Notamacropus eugenii: one gene and its partner. The protein of the gene in region 2 interacts with the protein of the main gene of each other region in a pairwise test. Links are inferred from orthologs where the notes say so. Each region holds a gene or a part of one and is shown on either strand. Other genes may lie near its edges.

Evidence for each region. The genes of interacting proteins can lie anywhere in the genome.
Region 1: the proteins of protein-arginine deiminase type-4-like (region 2) and ANXA4 interact in binary tests that used the Homo sapiens proteins (3 or more experiments, as listed by UniProt). The two-hybrid records come from large-scale screens. The link is inferred for Notamacropus eugenii from reciprocal best matches to the Homo sapiens genes PADI4 and ANXA4.

What each region holds. Positions count from the first base shown.
Region 1 is NC_092872.1:633,957,696-633,965,302, reverse strand, and holds the start of ANXA4 (annexin A4), read right to left. Parts: upstream 3,014-7,607; 5' UTR 2,979-3,013; coding exon 2,955-2,978; exon of another isoform or gene 2,667-2,954; intron 1-2,666. UniProt on the Homo sapiens protein: Calcium/phospholipid-binding protein which promotes membrane fusion and is involved in exocytosis.
Region 2 is NC_092876.1:56,566,319-56,574,110, reverse strand, and holds the start of protein-arginine deiminase type-4-like, read right to left. Parts: upstream 3,001-7,792; 5' UTR 2,991-3,000; coding exon 2,899-2,990; intron 1-2,898. UniProt on the Homo sapiens protein: Catalyzes the citrullination/deimination of arginine residues of proteins such as histones, thereby playing a key role in histone code and regulation of stem cell maintenance.

The sequences.
Region 1 (7,607 bases), on a different chromosome or scaffold from region 2:
ATTCTCCCATGGACAGTTCCACTCCAGAAGGGCAGAAACCACTTGCAGAGTATATGATGGAACACCCAAGCAGAAGGTTCTGATGATAATGGTGAGATTAGTCCACTGCCACTATTCATCAACAGAAGAGTTATATAGGATGTTCAAGGAAGATTGGCACTTCTGGTATGAAGACTTTGCTGAGCCCTTTTCAGGGCTGCTTATCCTCCTTTGGGGTCTACCTAGCACTCAACCCTCACCTGTGGCTCCAAGAAGCTGTTAGTTTGTATTAGCTAAGTTAACACTGCAGTTAACACTGTAGCAAGTTAGAGGGATGTCTGGAAAATGTCATTCACATCCAGAGAAAGAAATATGGAGTCTGAATGCAGATTGAAGCATACTATTTGCTCTCTTTTGTTTTGTTTTCCTTTCTCATAGTTTCTCCCATTTGTTCTAATTCTTTATACAACATAACAATGTGAAAATCTGTTTAGTAAGAATGTGTATATAGGGCCTATATCAGATGGCATGCCATCTTGGATAAGGGGGAGAGGTGGAGAAAATTTAAAACTTGTGGAAGTGAATGTTGAAAACTAAAAATAAATAAATAAATGTATTAAAAAAAAAAGAAGAAGAAGAAGAAGAAGAAGAAGAAGAAGAAGAAGAAGAAGAAGAAGAAGAAATTCTACCTAGTGCTGGTTTTCTAAGATCAAACAAAAAAATCTCTTTTTCACATGAGGTTCTTTCAAATACTTAAAGATGACAATAGTACTCATCTCTTCCACCCCCCTCTTCTCCCAAAACCTTCCCTCTCTCCAGGTTAAAAATCCCGTATTAGAGCCACAAATGCTGATTCTACTTCCCAGAAAAAGCACTACAAAATATTTCCTGGATGACAGCCCGAGAGGTACCCTCAAACAACCTTCTTAATACAAATATAGTAGAGGTAGGGTTGGGGAGTAATGGAGACCTAAGTGGAATCTTGGACCTTGGAGAAAAAGACCCAAAGACAAGGAGACAGAGAGACCCAGGACACCAGCCTTGATAGAGGTTCAACTTCAGGTCATTAGGAGACTGCTGCAGAACAAATACCACTGGAAGGGATAGTGAAGTAGAGACATGCTGGCGAAGGACTCACCTGGGTTATGGTCATCAAGGGAGGAGGCCTGCCACTGATAGCTCCTTATTTTAGTTAATTATTCTTGCTAATTAGGTACTGAGCTCAGTTATTTCTACTTTCAGAAAGTAGTCAATTGCAGGTATCACCCTTTAAATTTCTCTGCTCAAGGGCCTAGTTTTAGTCACTCTACCCTAGTTAAAATTCTGACCCAGTTCCTTCAACTAATCCTTTTATGGAATGATATACAGTCTTTTGTCATCCTGGTCATGCTTCTTGAGACATATTCCATCTTGCATATGCTTTTGTGTGTTTTGGGGTTTTTTGTATATGCCTCTTAAAATATATGATGGCACCCAGAGAATGTAGACTTTGGAGTCAGGCAACCTAGATTCATATCTTGCCTCAGCCTTTTCATACATGTGTGACCTTGGGCAAGTCACTTAACATTCTGGCCGTCAATTTTTTCATCTGGAAAATGAAGGGATTGAACTAGATAACTTTCTACAGATTCTTTTAGCTATGATCTATGATCTTATGTTATCACAGACAATTCCAACTGTGGTCTGACAAGGACATCCAGTCCTCAAAAGTTTTTCTTTCACAGTTTCATAGATTTAGAGTTGCAAAGGACCTCAAAGATTATACTAGATAGAATTATTTAGTATAATCCATTCATTTTTCAGATTGAGAAACTGAGGCCAGAGAGTTTATAAAACTTGGTCATACAGGTACTAAGTGGCAGAGCTAGGGAATGAATCCCATGTCTTCTGGTTCCAAACTCAATGTTCTTTTCTGTTGTACCACACTTTAAAAAACCATCATTTAAAAAGCCAGTCAAATTTTTTTTTAATTCACAAAATAAAACAATGAAAGCAAAATTGATCATCTCCAAACATTCAAAAATCAAAGAATATCTGCTCTAATATTACTAGTTAAGGCAATACATCTAGGACACTTCTTAACTAAAGGTAATAGGTTGTCAACCTTATTTTTTGGGGGGGTGGGAGGAAGAAGGCAATCTGTGTTAAGTGATTTGCCCAGGTTCACACAGATAGTAAGTGTCTGAGGCTGGATTTGACCTCAGATCTTCCTGACTCCAGGGCCAGTTCTCTGTCCACTGTATACCTAGCTACCCTGAATTTATTTAAAAAAAAAAAACAAAACTTCATTATCTTTATTCTCCCTCAAGATTAGCAGTTTTTTTCTACCCTGGTTTCTTCCTTGGTGGCTTGTGTAGAGGCTGAGTCTGGTGAGGATATTGCTGGAGATTAGCTAGAGGCACGGCAATAGAATTGTTGGAAGCTACCTCTCCTTGAATTTTTTCTGCACTCACTTATCAGGGTCCTGGCCAAGACATTCCTAATCCTTCTCTACTAAGAACTCCAGATTTTTTTTTTCTAAATCTAAATAACTTTTACTTCTTTACCCTTTACACTCTTGTTGAAATGGTTGACTACCTGTCCTCCTCCTCATTATGTTCTGCAACCTTAATTATGCTGTCAGCTGCTGCCAGTCAAGTTGTGAGAGAGGTGAGGGCCACAGAAAAAATGGAGCCAGACAAAGCCAGTCTGAAAAGCTCCGAGAGACTCTACAGTTTCCATTGCTCAGTGGATTTGGAAGAAGAGGGGGAAGAAAAAAATCAGACCTTTTCTTCCATTTACATCTCTTAATACCTGCTGCAATTCCATGATGGTGGTAGACTGACATAATGATGGTAGACTACCCTTAAACTCTAACTCTTAGGAAGAAATTCTCCTAATTAAAACAGTCAAGTCCCAAAGAACCTTTTTCAGCACCCCTATACCTACTGAGAGTGGTTATCATTTCCTCCCATCCTCTCCCGATCCTGAGTTACCTTCACCCAGTGGTTTCCTAGCATCACTGTAACAGGACAAATGAAGATGGCATTGTAAACAGAACAATGTTTCCAAGGCAACCACCTGTACAATTCAGAGCTTCTTAACCAGTAAAAAGGTGAGGACTTTCATTTTCCTAGAATCCTCTCTACCTCCCCACCACTCTCTTCCACCTGCTTTTCACCCACCTTACTTCTCATGAATTGTGATGGTATAGGGACATTTTTTAGCCTGTCAACTATAAGAAGTCCGTTTTTACCCTGCTCTCCTTTGGCTGATATTATCAGGAAACACTTGTGCTTGGGGTCATTTTTGTTTTAATTATGAGTTAAATTCTGGATAGAGGTTGCCCATTCATCATTTAGGTGTGGGTGTATGAGATGACTGAATTTATTGTGGAACCGTATATAGTAGTAAAGGTGGGGGCAGAAGGAAATAGAAATTGGAAGCAAGGTGATTGAGAAAATACTTGGTCTTGGATTCAGAATATCTGACTTCCAATTCTGGCTCTGCTACTTAACAGAAACTACATATAGATATGTGTAAAGCACATATTATGTGAAAGTCTTCCCTACTTGTGTGTCCTTGGGGAAATTACATCACCTCTCTAGGCTACTCCTCTCTCATCTTCGCTCTTTCTGTTATAGGTATCACTCACCATCCAGTCACCAGTGTTGTACATTGACATTATCCTGGAGCTTTAGTTTCTCTTCACCCCACATGTATATTCACACATCCAGTTCAAAACTATGCCGTTTTCATTTTGGTTATCCTCCTCATTCCCTTCCCACTGTAACCAGAACTCTGCCCCTGGGACCTTGGACCCCAATAGGTCAGCTCTTACCCTTCCTTGCCCAGAATCAGACTTCCTATTACTTTTCAGTCAGTTTCCTACTAGTCTAATCCCCTGCATCCTTTCAGCTCCCCTTTATGTGTTGCCTTACCTTATTAGACTGTTCACTCCTTCAGGTCAAGGACTATTTACTTGCTTATACTGGTATTCTCATCACTTAGCACAGTGGCAGACGCAGAGGGGTATGCCAGAACCAGCCTGAGAGCCCCTGTGAGCTGACTGTTAAATTTTCGCTAATATGATTATTGAATGTCTTTTATTCATTTATTCTTTCAAGTTGATGCCAAATATTGTCATTTCTCCCTTACATTTTTGACATGTCTTTTTTTCTCTAGACACAGGGCCACAACCCTAGTTTATGCCCTCATCACCTTTTGTCTGGACTGTTGCAAGGCTTCCTAATTGTCTTCCCTACCTCATTTCTTTCCCCTTGCTAATCTGTTCTACATGCAGCTGTGAAATTGATTTTCCTAAAGTAAAGGTCTGACCATGACAGTCCCCCATTCAATAAATAATTACCTCTAGAATAAAATATGTTAGTCTGACTTTTAAAGACCTTCACAACCTGGTGACAACTTACATTTCCAAGGTTATATTATGTATTTGCTATGGTGGACTCCATTAGATTATGCCACTCACTTTAAGTAATATCCCTTGTTAGGTATGAACACTTTTTATTGACTTAAACAATTAGAATTGAGTGTGAACAGGGCCTAAACAGAGCAGGTACCTACCTGCCTCAATCAAAGCCATTTTTTAAAAGACAGGATCATGTCCTAAGGAATTTGCTTAAAGGAAGAAGCTAAGTATGCAGAAGAAAAGATTCTGAGGGTCTAGATTCAAGAGGCTGGCCTTCCAGCATACACCTAAGGAGCGAATGAGCTGTGAAAGAGAAGGATGCTATGTAAGAGAAACATCAGCTCTAGAAAAGTTTGGGAGCAGAGGACTTATGCTAGGAGAAGATCTAAGAAAAAACTGGGCTCATTCCCCAACTTCCCCTCCCAGTCTCTGCCTCACATTCACTATAATATAATCTACGTTTTGTTACACTAATGTTTCTAGTGAATTGAATTTTGTGTCAACTTCAAAGAGGCTGGGGGGTTAACTTGTGCAAGATATAAACGTAAACTTTGGTTAATATATTAGGAGTTTTCCAAACTGGGGGCTCAGAGTTATTGTGATGGAACTCAGAACTTTTCATCTAAAATCAATTCCCTATTGTTGGAGAAGAAAACTCCTGGACCTTAGGAACCTAAATTGGATCACTCCAGGTTTAAAACAAACTAATTATTATAACAGGGCAGTACTTACTATGATGTGGCCAAACTAATCGTGCAGTTCTTCATATGTGACATTCCATCTTCCATCTTCATATCTTTTCTTGAGTGTGGTCCAGGTATTTCCTCTCTCTTTACCTTCTCCTCTTTGAATTTCTTGTTTGCTTTAGAACTGCTCAAAGACCACCTTCTACGTGAAACCTTTCCTCATTCTCCAGTCACTAGTGTCCTCTACACACACACACACACACACACACACACACACACACACACACACACACACACACACACACACATTTTACCTAGTATTTATTCTGTGTATACTTTTTTAATGTCTTAATTATGTACTGATTGTCTCTCTTATAGAATATAAACTTCTTGAGGACAAGGACTATTTCATTTTTTGTTTTTGAATCCCCAGTGAACAAGAGAGTGCCTGAAACAGATACTTCATAAATACTTGCTCATTAATTAATTGATTTCCTTATCTGTAAAATGAAGGGATTGGACTAAATAATCTCTAGGGCTTCTTCTAGCTATAAATTCTATATCTTTGATTAGCTGCAGAATCACATGTGATAATTGATGTGGCTTAGGTATGCCTTGGTAGGTGTCTTTGGTTTCCTCTTTGAAACAGCCATCCATGATGGGCTTATAACACAGCTTTCCACAAGTTAAACAAAAGTGGATACCCCTTAATTATTTGAGTAACTGGGAAATATATATTTTGACCACCAGGTGGCAATACCATCAAGCCACCCACCTAGTGGTTTTATCAGTAGGTATTTAGTGAACATGGGCTAGTTTTTCCAAAGGTAAAAGTATCCTATATGGCAATTGTTCATAAATTTTCAGACCACAACCCACTCCCACCACACCAAGTTTCTTTGGGCAATTTGCCCCCAATTCAATATAGATCTACATGTATGAACATGAAATATACAGTAGTTCTAAAATATTAAGATTGTTGGAAACCTCTAATTACTCCTGTTGAGGGAATTTGGGAAATCTGTTCTTGTTGACCAACTGAGATCCAGACAACTGACTTTTTAGCTACTACGTGATTTATTAAAATATGCAAAGAAACTATCAGATAGCAAAATTGTAAAGAAGCTATTTAAATTGATCTACTAATCCTGATCTCCCCACTTATAGAGGAGGAGGACAGGAGGGTAGAATAAAGGAAGGGTTCATGAATTTGGCACTCATTGAGATTTAAAATAGCACTGCCTTTGGAATTCAATTTTTTAAAATGTACGTTTAAAATTAATTTTGCACGTAATTGAAAAAAATTTTAAAGAAGGAGTAGCACTGCCTCTGAAGTCAGAAGATCTGAGTTCAAATCCATACATCTGATGATTACCACTTAACTTCAGTGGACATCAGCTTTCTTCCTCTATAAAATAAGAGGGTTAGAGGGGTTTTTAACCTCGGGCTCAATAAAAAAATTTTTAATAACTGTATTTCAATATAATTGCTTCTTTTGTGATCCTGTGTATTTTATTTTATATATTCAAAAATATTTTGAGAAAAGACTGCCCAAAGCATCTGCGACACAGGAAAGGTTAATAATCCCTGGCTGAGTATAGTGGTATACTCCTGTAATCCCAGCCATCTGAAGACTGAGAGTGGTGAATCTCTTGAGTTTCTGTGGACTATGCAGATCAGTCCGTGCTAAATTCAGCATTAATATGATAAGCCTCTGGAGTTGGGGGTGGGGAGCACCAGGTTGCCTAAAGTTAGTGGTGTACTGGTAAATATTTAACAACTTGTCCTCCCCCCAAAATGTACAAATGATATATTTTAAACTTTATCTGCCTTATTCACATTTCTCCATCACTTTCCGAAGTCTAGTTAAGCAGTGTCTAACTCAAATAGATAACTGCAAAGGATCCCTGCTGCCCTCTGACTTGAGAACCACATATTAGCATTATCTGTGTTCTGTTGTGTTTTTATTTGTTTTGTTAAATATTTCCCAGTGCATTTTAATTTAGTTCTCCCTGCGCTAAGGAGTGCTGAAGGGCATATTTGACCCCTCTGATCTAGACTAGTAGTGTCAAATTTAAATAGAAATGAATTGTGATTGACTGTGGTTGACTCAGAAAAACACCAGTTAACATTATGTTGCATTGTGGAGCACTTGGCCTGGAGTGAGGACGACCTGAGTTCAAATGTGACCTCAGATATTTACTAGCTGTGTTACCCTGGGCAAGTCACTCAACCTCCATTTGCCTTAAACCACTGGAGAAGGAAAAGGCAAACCACTCTAATATCCTTGCCAAGAAAACTGCATGGTCCACAGGGTCATAAAAACTCAGATACTATTAAACAATAGCATTAATAATATGTTGCATTGTATTTTAAAATTTATTTTGTTAAGCATTTCTCAGTTACATTTTAACTTGATTCTACAAAGGCTGGAGTGTTGCCCTTCTGGTGACAATTAACAGAAGAGTAGATCAGGCCCTGACCTGTGGGTCTGGCAGTTTCTGAGGTGTAAATGCTCATACTGAAAACTTCAC
Region 2 (7,792 bases):
CCCGATTTCCCAGGGTGACCATCCATCCCATGTTCACAGCCCCTGTTCCTTGTCACTGCCAGGTACTGCACTCCTGATCCCACCACGGAACTCTGGTTCTTTACCCTGAAGGATACCTATGACCTCCAAGACTTGAGACAATGAATGTTCCCACAGGACCCAAGAACACCTGTGTTGTTCCAAGGAATGCAACCATGAGAAATATCTCAAGATCTAGGAATGACTTTGCTATGGGCCAACCCTTTTTATGTAAATAAGTGGCCTCCTCCTTTTGGGGGGGGGGCTTCTATTTGCAAATGTCATTTTCCTCCCTCTGAAATTAATTAAACTTCTGTTTGTGTCCTGACTTTCCTGTCTCTAGTCTGCCCTGTTTGTTTGGCTCTGGCCACCCACAGGTTAGAGGCTGTTTCCAGTCTGGTTGACAGTACTTGTCTGTGAAAAGCACATTGACTTGGGAATCAAAGAACCTGGGTTCAAATCCTGCCTTTGGTGTTTATACCTCAGATGAAAGGCAAACCGCTTCATTTCCCTGGGCCTCAGTTTCCTCATCTGTCCTGGGTCACATTGTAAGAGTTACTCTGGGGATTGGCAAACTTCTTGGGCTAAACTCTGGGACAGGGATAGGCAACTGTGGCGTGGGTATCCAAGGTGACCAGTGGGCCTGCTGTGTCACCTCTTTCTTTTGGGAGATCTGTTGGCAATCATTATCATTGACCTTCCCCTGCCAAAAAGAAAGGGGATGGAACCTTAGCCTGATTCCTTGCTAGGGTTACTACTGCCGGTGCTAGCCATGAGATATAATTAATATCATTCATATTAATTAAGGAGCACCTAGGAGCACTATACTCAGTGGATAGAGCACTGGACCTGGAATCAGGAAGATCTGAATTCAAATCTAGCCTCTGACACTTACTAGCTGTGTGTCCCTGGGCAAATCACTTAACGTGTGCCTGCCACAGTTTCCTCATCTGTAAAATGAGCTGGAGATGGAAATGGCAAACTACTCGAGTATCTCTGCCAAGAGAACCCCAAATAGGGTCACAAAACAACAGAGAAAGCAGGTCTATGTGGAGCCCAGATGAGCCTTAGACCCCCTTCCAAATTTCTACTCCTTTGTGGAAGCTCAGTTCCACTGCCATCTCCTCCAGGAAGTCACTGGATCTCACTGCACGTCTCCCTGACACATTTGTCATTGGCCAGTTTACATCACATTCATCTGTGTTCGTGTTTAAAGAGCTATTTGAATAGAAATAATTCCTGCAACCCCTACTGCTACTACTATGAGACCCCTTGAGGGCAGGAACCAGGACTATTTTGTTTTTGTCCACTGGCAACAAGTCCAGGATTTTTATGTAGGGAATAGTTTTTAATTGTTTGTTGAAATGAATGAATGAGTTGCTAGTCAAGTCTTACTTAAAATCATTAGCTTATTTTAAAGGATCTCATCTCCAATTAGTTTCTTTTCTTCTTTTTTGGAGGCAATTGGGATTAAGGGATTTGCCCAGGGTCACACTGCTAGTAAGTATCTGAGGCTGGATTTGAGATGATGTCCTCCTGATTTCAGGCCGAGTGCTCTATCCAGTGGGCTACCCAGCTGCCTCTACCACCTTCTCTTTTCAAAGAGTCAATGTGTCATGTTGGATGGAAAGCTGGCCTTGGAGCCAGGAAGACCTGGGTACAGATCCTGCTTTTGGCACATAATGTCTATGTGACCCTAGACAACTGATGTAGCCTCTCAACACTTTGGGCAGCTCTGAGACCTGAAGTTGCAAAGAAAAGGCTGACTTATTTTGGTAGGAGGAGTTTCTTCACCCAGAAGGTTTCTATATTTATGAAATCACAAATTCATTTGGTCCCTAGCTTTACTTGCCACTTCTCCTTTAAGTCTTCCCCTTGGGACTTCAAACTCAAGGCAATTATTTTCCCCTTATGGGGTAAACACCATTCTCAAGGAAGACTCAAGGAGATCTCAAGCAACTGTCTGGGGGCTGGTGTTTGTGTCTGTTGCGGGGCTGGGGAAGCCTGGTTATCAGTCCAATGCCAGATTCCAGCCACAGCATGTAAGCTAGACAGATTTCAGCTCAATCAAAGCAATCCTAATAATTGGGGTTGTACTAACTGGAGTGGGCTAACATACATAAGTCACTGAGCTCCTCGTCACTGGTGGTATCCAAGAAGAGGCAGAAATATAGCTTGTAGGGAATGGGAGAGAGGACATTCCCAGATCAGCCCTGAGGCTGGACTGAATGAACTGTGAGATTCTGTGATTCTATTCAACAGAAATCAGCAAAAGTGTGTACATGTGCTCAGCTCAGGAATTAAAAAGGAGCTTGTTGTCTAATAGCAGGAAGGACTGAACAGACAACGGGAGACAAGGGACAGTGGTGTTAATGCAGAGGAGAGGTTGGGGCCACGGGCTAGGAGAGTTCCATACAAGAGACGAAACAGCCTAAAGTGTCCATAATGTCTGCATCTATGAAATGAGAGGACTGAACTAATGCTCCCTAAGGGCCCTCCCAGCTGTGACACTGTGTTCTAAGGGCGCTCCCAGCTGTGACACTGTGTTCTAAGGGCCCTCCCCACTGTGACACTCTGTGTTCTAAGAGCCCTCCCAGCTCTGACATTCTGTGTTCTAAGGGCCCTCCCAGTTCTCACATTCTGGGTTCTAAGGACCCTCTCTCATCCTTCTTTCCAGCTCTAGCATGGCATGGTCGGTGTCCTGTGCTTCTGCTTTTCTCCAGCGAGTAATTATACCCTTCTCAGGACTGCTCAGAGATTATTAGCTTCATTAACTGCTAAGCTGACAGCATTTACTGGAAGAAAGCTTCTGCCACACTTATCAGATAGTCAGAGCTACCCACCCACCTGAAACAGCAGAGAGAGCTCCCTCCTCCTTACCCATGCAGGTCCACCACCGTCTCGGTGCCCAGCACACACACAGCATAGGTGGGTCGATCTAGCGACACCCGGACGAGCCTCTTCTGGGCCATTTTCTGCGGTGTGGTGTCAGCCTATGGCCTTCAGCACTGCCCGTGGGCTGCTGTCTTTATACTGGGTAAATGAGTCAGCAGATGTGGTTTGGAGGTCACCGGTTTGCTCCTCCCTGTTCCCAGCCATGGGTCCTGGGTTCCTCTGGGCCTTTCTCAGGCTCCTAGCCTGTGGCCGAGTGAGTTGTCATTCAGCCTCCCCAGGTGAACAGAAGCCTGATATTAGCCAGAGAAGTCCCAGGTTTACTGAGTGGAAAGAGTTCCATCTGAGATGCCGCTGGTATCTAGAGCTGTCATTCCAGGCAGCCTTTGTTTGGAGTCTGGAGAACCAGCACTGAAAGCCCTTTGGGTCACTCGCTGGCCATAACAACCAATCAATAAAAATTTAAGTACATATCATATCCAGGACCAGAACTGGGAACTTTGCTAGGATGTAAAGACCAAAATGGAATAGGCCTGACTTCTCAGGGAACTTACATTCTGCTAGAGGAGATAGCATATGCTCATAGTGGACCCCTATATTTAAGTTAATTTATATTTACTTATATCTACATTTCCATTTAAGCACAAACATACCATATCTAAATTAACTGCAAAGTTTTTGGGGAGAGAGGCACTAGTAACTGGGCAGACTGTGAAAGGCTAGCTGCAGGTGCTTGAGTTCTGTTTTAAGAGGTAGAGGCAAGCAGAGGGCACTCCAGGAAGGGGGCATGGCTACAGTATAGACACAGAGACAGGTACAGAATTGTGGGTGTGGAGTAGCAGAAAGACTAGCTAGGCAGGATGATGGAGTGTGGGAAGGGGACTGATGTACAGCAAGGCTGGAAAGGGGCCATGTTGTGGAGTATAGAGATGCCCAAAAGATAATCGATTATTTGATCCTAGGGATAACAGAGAGTCAATGCAGTTAAGTGAGTAGGGGAGTGGCATGGCCAGACTTACATTCACCTTGGCTGTTGAGCAGAGGATGGCTTTGGGTGGGGAGAGACTTGAGAAGGGCCTGATTCCCTAGGAGACTCTTACAATAGTTTGAAGGAAAGTGGATGAATAGAGGTCTTGTAAATAGAGGCTTGATGCTATATGGCCTAGGGACAGCTAGATGGCACAATGGATAGATTCCTTGACCTAGAGTTTGGAAGACTCATCTTTCTGAGTTCAAATCTGGCCTCAGACACTTACTAGCTTTGTGACCCTGTGCAAGTCACTTCACCCTCTTTGCCTGAGTTTCTTCATCTGTAAAATGAGCTGGAGAAGGAAATGGCAACCCCCTCCAGTATCTCTACCAAGAGGGGTCACAATTGAATAACCACTATTCTCTTTCCAACTGGGTCTCCCAGGTGAGCTCCTGCCCCATTCACCCTGCTAGGGGACAACCTCCCTAACAATGAGTTAATGACATTCCTGAGTCTCTGTTTCCCTTCAGGGAGATGCTCTGAAATGTCTCCAGGAACAAAGCCTTAACTCACCCTCCAACTCCCAACTGCCAAATGTGGTTGCAAGGGAACAACTTCTCATAGAGTTTCCTCAGTCTCAAAAGGAGAGTTGGACTTAGTTAGAAGAGACCTAGATGGAACTCTCAATTCTTTACTATGTGATATAACTCATTGCCATTCTCTAAACCTCAGTGACTTCATATCTAAAATGGGGCTAATATAATGTACCATCTGACCTACCTCGTAGGGCTGTTGTGAAAAAGTCCTTTGTAAGCCTAAAGTGTTCTCTCCATATGTTTGTATGTGCATATACACATACATGTTTTATGTCAGACACATTATATGTATGTGTATGTAAATGTAGAAGTAGCCTTGGAGCCTGGAAGACACACACTAGCTACGGGACCGTGAACAACTGAACCTCTCAATGTTCTCGGCAGCTCTGTAAGACTACTACTTTTAATTTTCAGCAAAGGTACAGATCTGAATGCGTAGAGGGAATTTCCTCACCTAGAAATTTCCTTTATCAAAGAAATCATTGGTCTAGCTCCTATTTCCTTATGAGTGAATTTGGGTGCAGCATGGAGGACTCTTAAACCTATCCTGAAACCAGAAAGGGCATGCAGACCTAGAGATGACACCTTCTATCATCTAAGACATTGGCCTCCATAAATCAACCATAGGTTAGCCAGTATCAACCCAGAGACTCAGAAAGGAACTTTGCTGAGTCTAAAAAAAAAATAACCTAAAAGAAGAAAAAGTGATCATTAAATTAGTATGATCAAAAGTGCAACAACGATCTTTGCTTGAATAAATATGTTTATATAACAGAAATGGGAACAGGAAATGCTCAAAGAGCCAGAGAAATGCCGATTTCCCTAGTGACTAAGAAACAAGACTGCCCTGACCCTTCAAGCTTCAGGGCTTTCTGGCAGTAGTGACAAGAGCCTGGCTATCACTGATACTCACATTCACCCCCAGTTTTCACAGATCTCAAGGTGAAACTTTGGGGTTGAGGAGTAGGGGAAAGTCAGAAAATCAATTTGATTCCATTTAATAAGCACTGATTAGGCCCCTCCAATAAATAGTAAAGATAGTTTCCTGTACTCAGCAATGGAGTTACAAAGATGAAAAACAACAGTGACAGCTTTTAAGGAGCTCAGACTATATGTATAATATACACAGATTTATATATATATTATATATGTATGTATATAAATGTGTATATGTGTGTGTGCATGCAGGAGTATGCGTATGTATATGGATAAACCAGGGACATTCATAAATACCTGTCATAATTCCATTCAATGACCATGCATTGTAAAGATTACAAGGGTAACAAAACAATTCTTGCCTCCAAGGGCATTATATCCCACTGGGTAATAGTGAGCCCTGAATTTGGAGTAAGAGGTCTTAGGTTTGAATGCCAGTTCATTATCTGAGTGACACTGGACAAGTTTATTTCTCTGTTCCTCGGTTTCCTCATCTGCAAAATGAAGTGATCAGACTAGAAAGTTTCTGAAACCTCCAAATTCCATGACTTTCCATGATCTATGTGACCTTGGAAAAGTTAACTAATCTCTCTGAGCCTTGGTTTTCTCATTTGCAAATCAGAGGGATAGGAGCCCTAAGGTCTTGTATCACTCTGACATCCTATGATCCCATGAACAAACTATATATACTTCAGCCTTGAATACAGAGGAGAATGCAGGGGGATGTTCCAAAAAGAAAGAGGATTGTTTCTTACTGAGAAGATAATGTTTGACCTTGCAGTCAGCTCGACTCTTAGCTTATCATTTTTCCTTATTTGCTGGTCAGTCACCAGGCTTGACTTCATCTGTCTTTGGGGTAGTCATACCAGGATGTTTTGTGCCCTTCTGTGACTTCTAGGTGCCTTGCAAGACAGGACCAGGCAAGAAGTTGTCAAGGGGCAGCTCACTAAGGGTGTGAGAAACTCATAAAAGTCAGGCTTGTTTACACATGTACAACCATAGGTTCATAGAATATATCTTAAAATAGACAATGGTGGAGGCAGAGACAAGATGGCAGAGTAAAGGCGGGAACTGACCTGAGCTCTCCCCCAAATCCCTGCAAATACCTTTAAATAGTGAGTCTAAACAAATTCTAGAGGGGCAGAACCCACAAAAAGATGGAGTGAAAATTTTTTAGCCCAAGACAACTTAAAAGGTTGGCAGGAAGGTCTGTTGTACCAGAATGAGAGAGAAGCACAGTTCGGTACAGGCCATACTGGTGCAGACCAGGTCCCAGCAAACCCAGAACAGGCCTCAGGGTGACTGAATCAGTGGCAGTAGTGGTGGTTTCCAAAACTCTCAGCCCACAGATGGTAAGGGGGTCAAACAACTGGTCAGAAGGAGATTACAAGGGTCTCTTTGCTGGTACTGAGACTAGATTCTGTTGCTTTGCCCATACTTGGTTCTGTGTTGCAGTCCTGGGTCTTAGTCCCAGTGTGAGGAGGAGCACTAGCACAGAAGAGCTTGTGGCCACAGGGGAGCAGGAACATTGGTCACAGTTTCAGGGTTGAAAACAGTGCTTGTGGTCCCTCTCAGACCAGTGCACAGGCCAGGAGAGTAGTTAACACACTTCTCATTAGATCATACCACCTTGGAAGAGCCCCAAACTTACAGGTTCCCAGAATTACCTCTGAAAACAGCTGCACAAATAAACGTCAAACTTGAAACAGCACTCTCTCCACTTGGGAAGCAGAGCCCCATTTTAACACAGAGTTAAAAGTCAAGAAATAAGTTGGAAAATGAGCAAACAACAAAAAAAATTCTGACCACAGAAAGTGGTTATGGTGACAAGGGAGATCAAAACACACACTTAGAAGAAGACAACAAAGTCAAAATTCCTTCATTCAAAGCCTCAAAGGAGAATACAAATTGCTCTCAGGTCATGGGAAGAACTCAAAAAGGATTTTAAAAATCAAGCAAGAGAGGTAGAGATAAAATTAGGAAGAGAAATGAGAATAATGGAAGAAAATCATGAAAAAGGAGTCCATAGTTTGGTAAAGGAGGCACAAAAAAATACTGAAGGAAATAATTCTTTAAAAAACAGAATAAGTCAAATGGTAAAAGAGGCACAAAAATCCAATGAAGAAAAGAATGCTTTAAAAGCAGAATTGGCCAAGTGGCAAAAGATATACAAAAATTCATCGAAGAGAACTCCTTAAAAAGTAGAACTGGCCAAATGCAAAAGAAGGTACAAGCTTGCCTGAAAGAGATTTTACAGTGGAGGGGGAAGTAAGAAGGTGAGCACATGAACCTTACTCTAATTGGAATTGGCTCAAAGAAGGAATAATACATGCATTCAGTTGGGTGTAGAAATCTATCTTACCATATTAAAAAGTAGGAA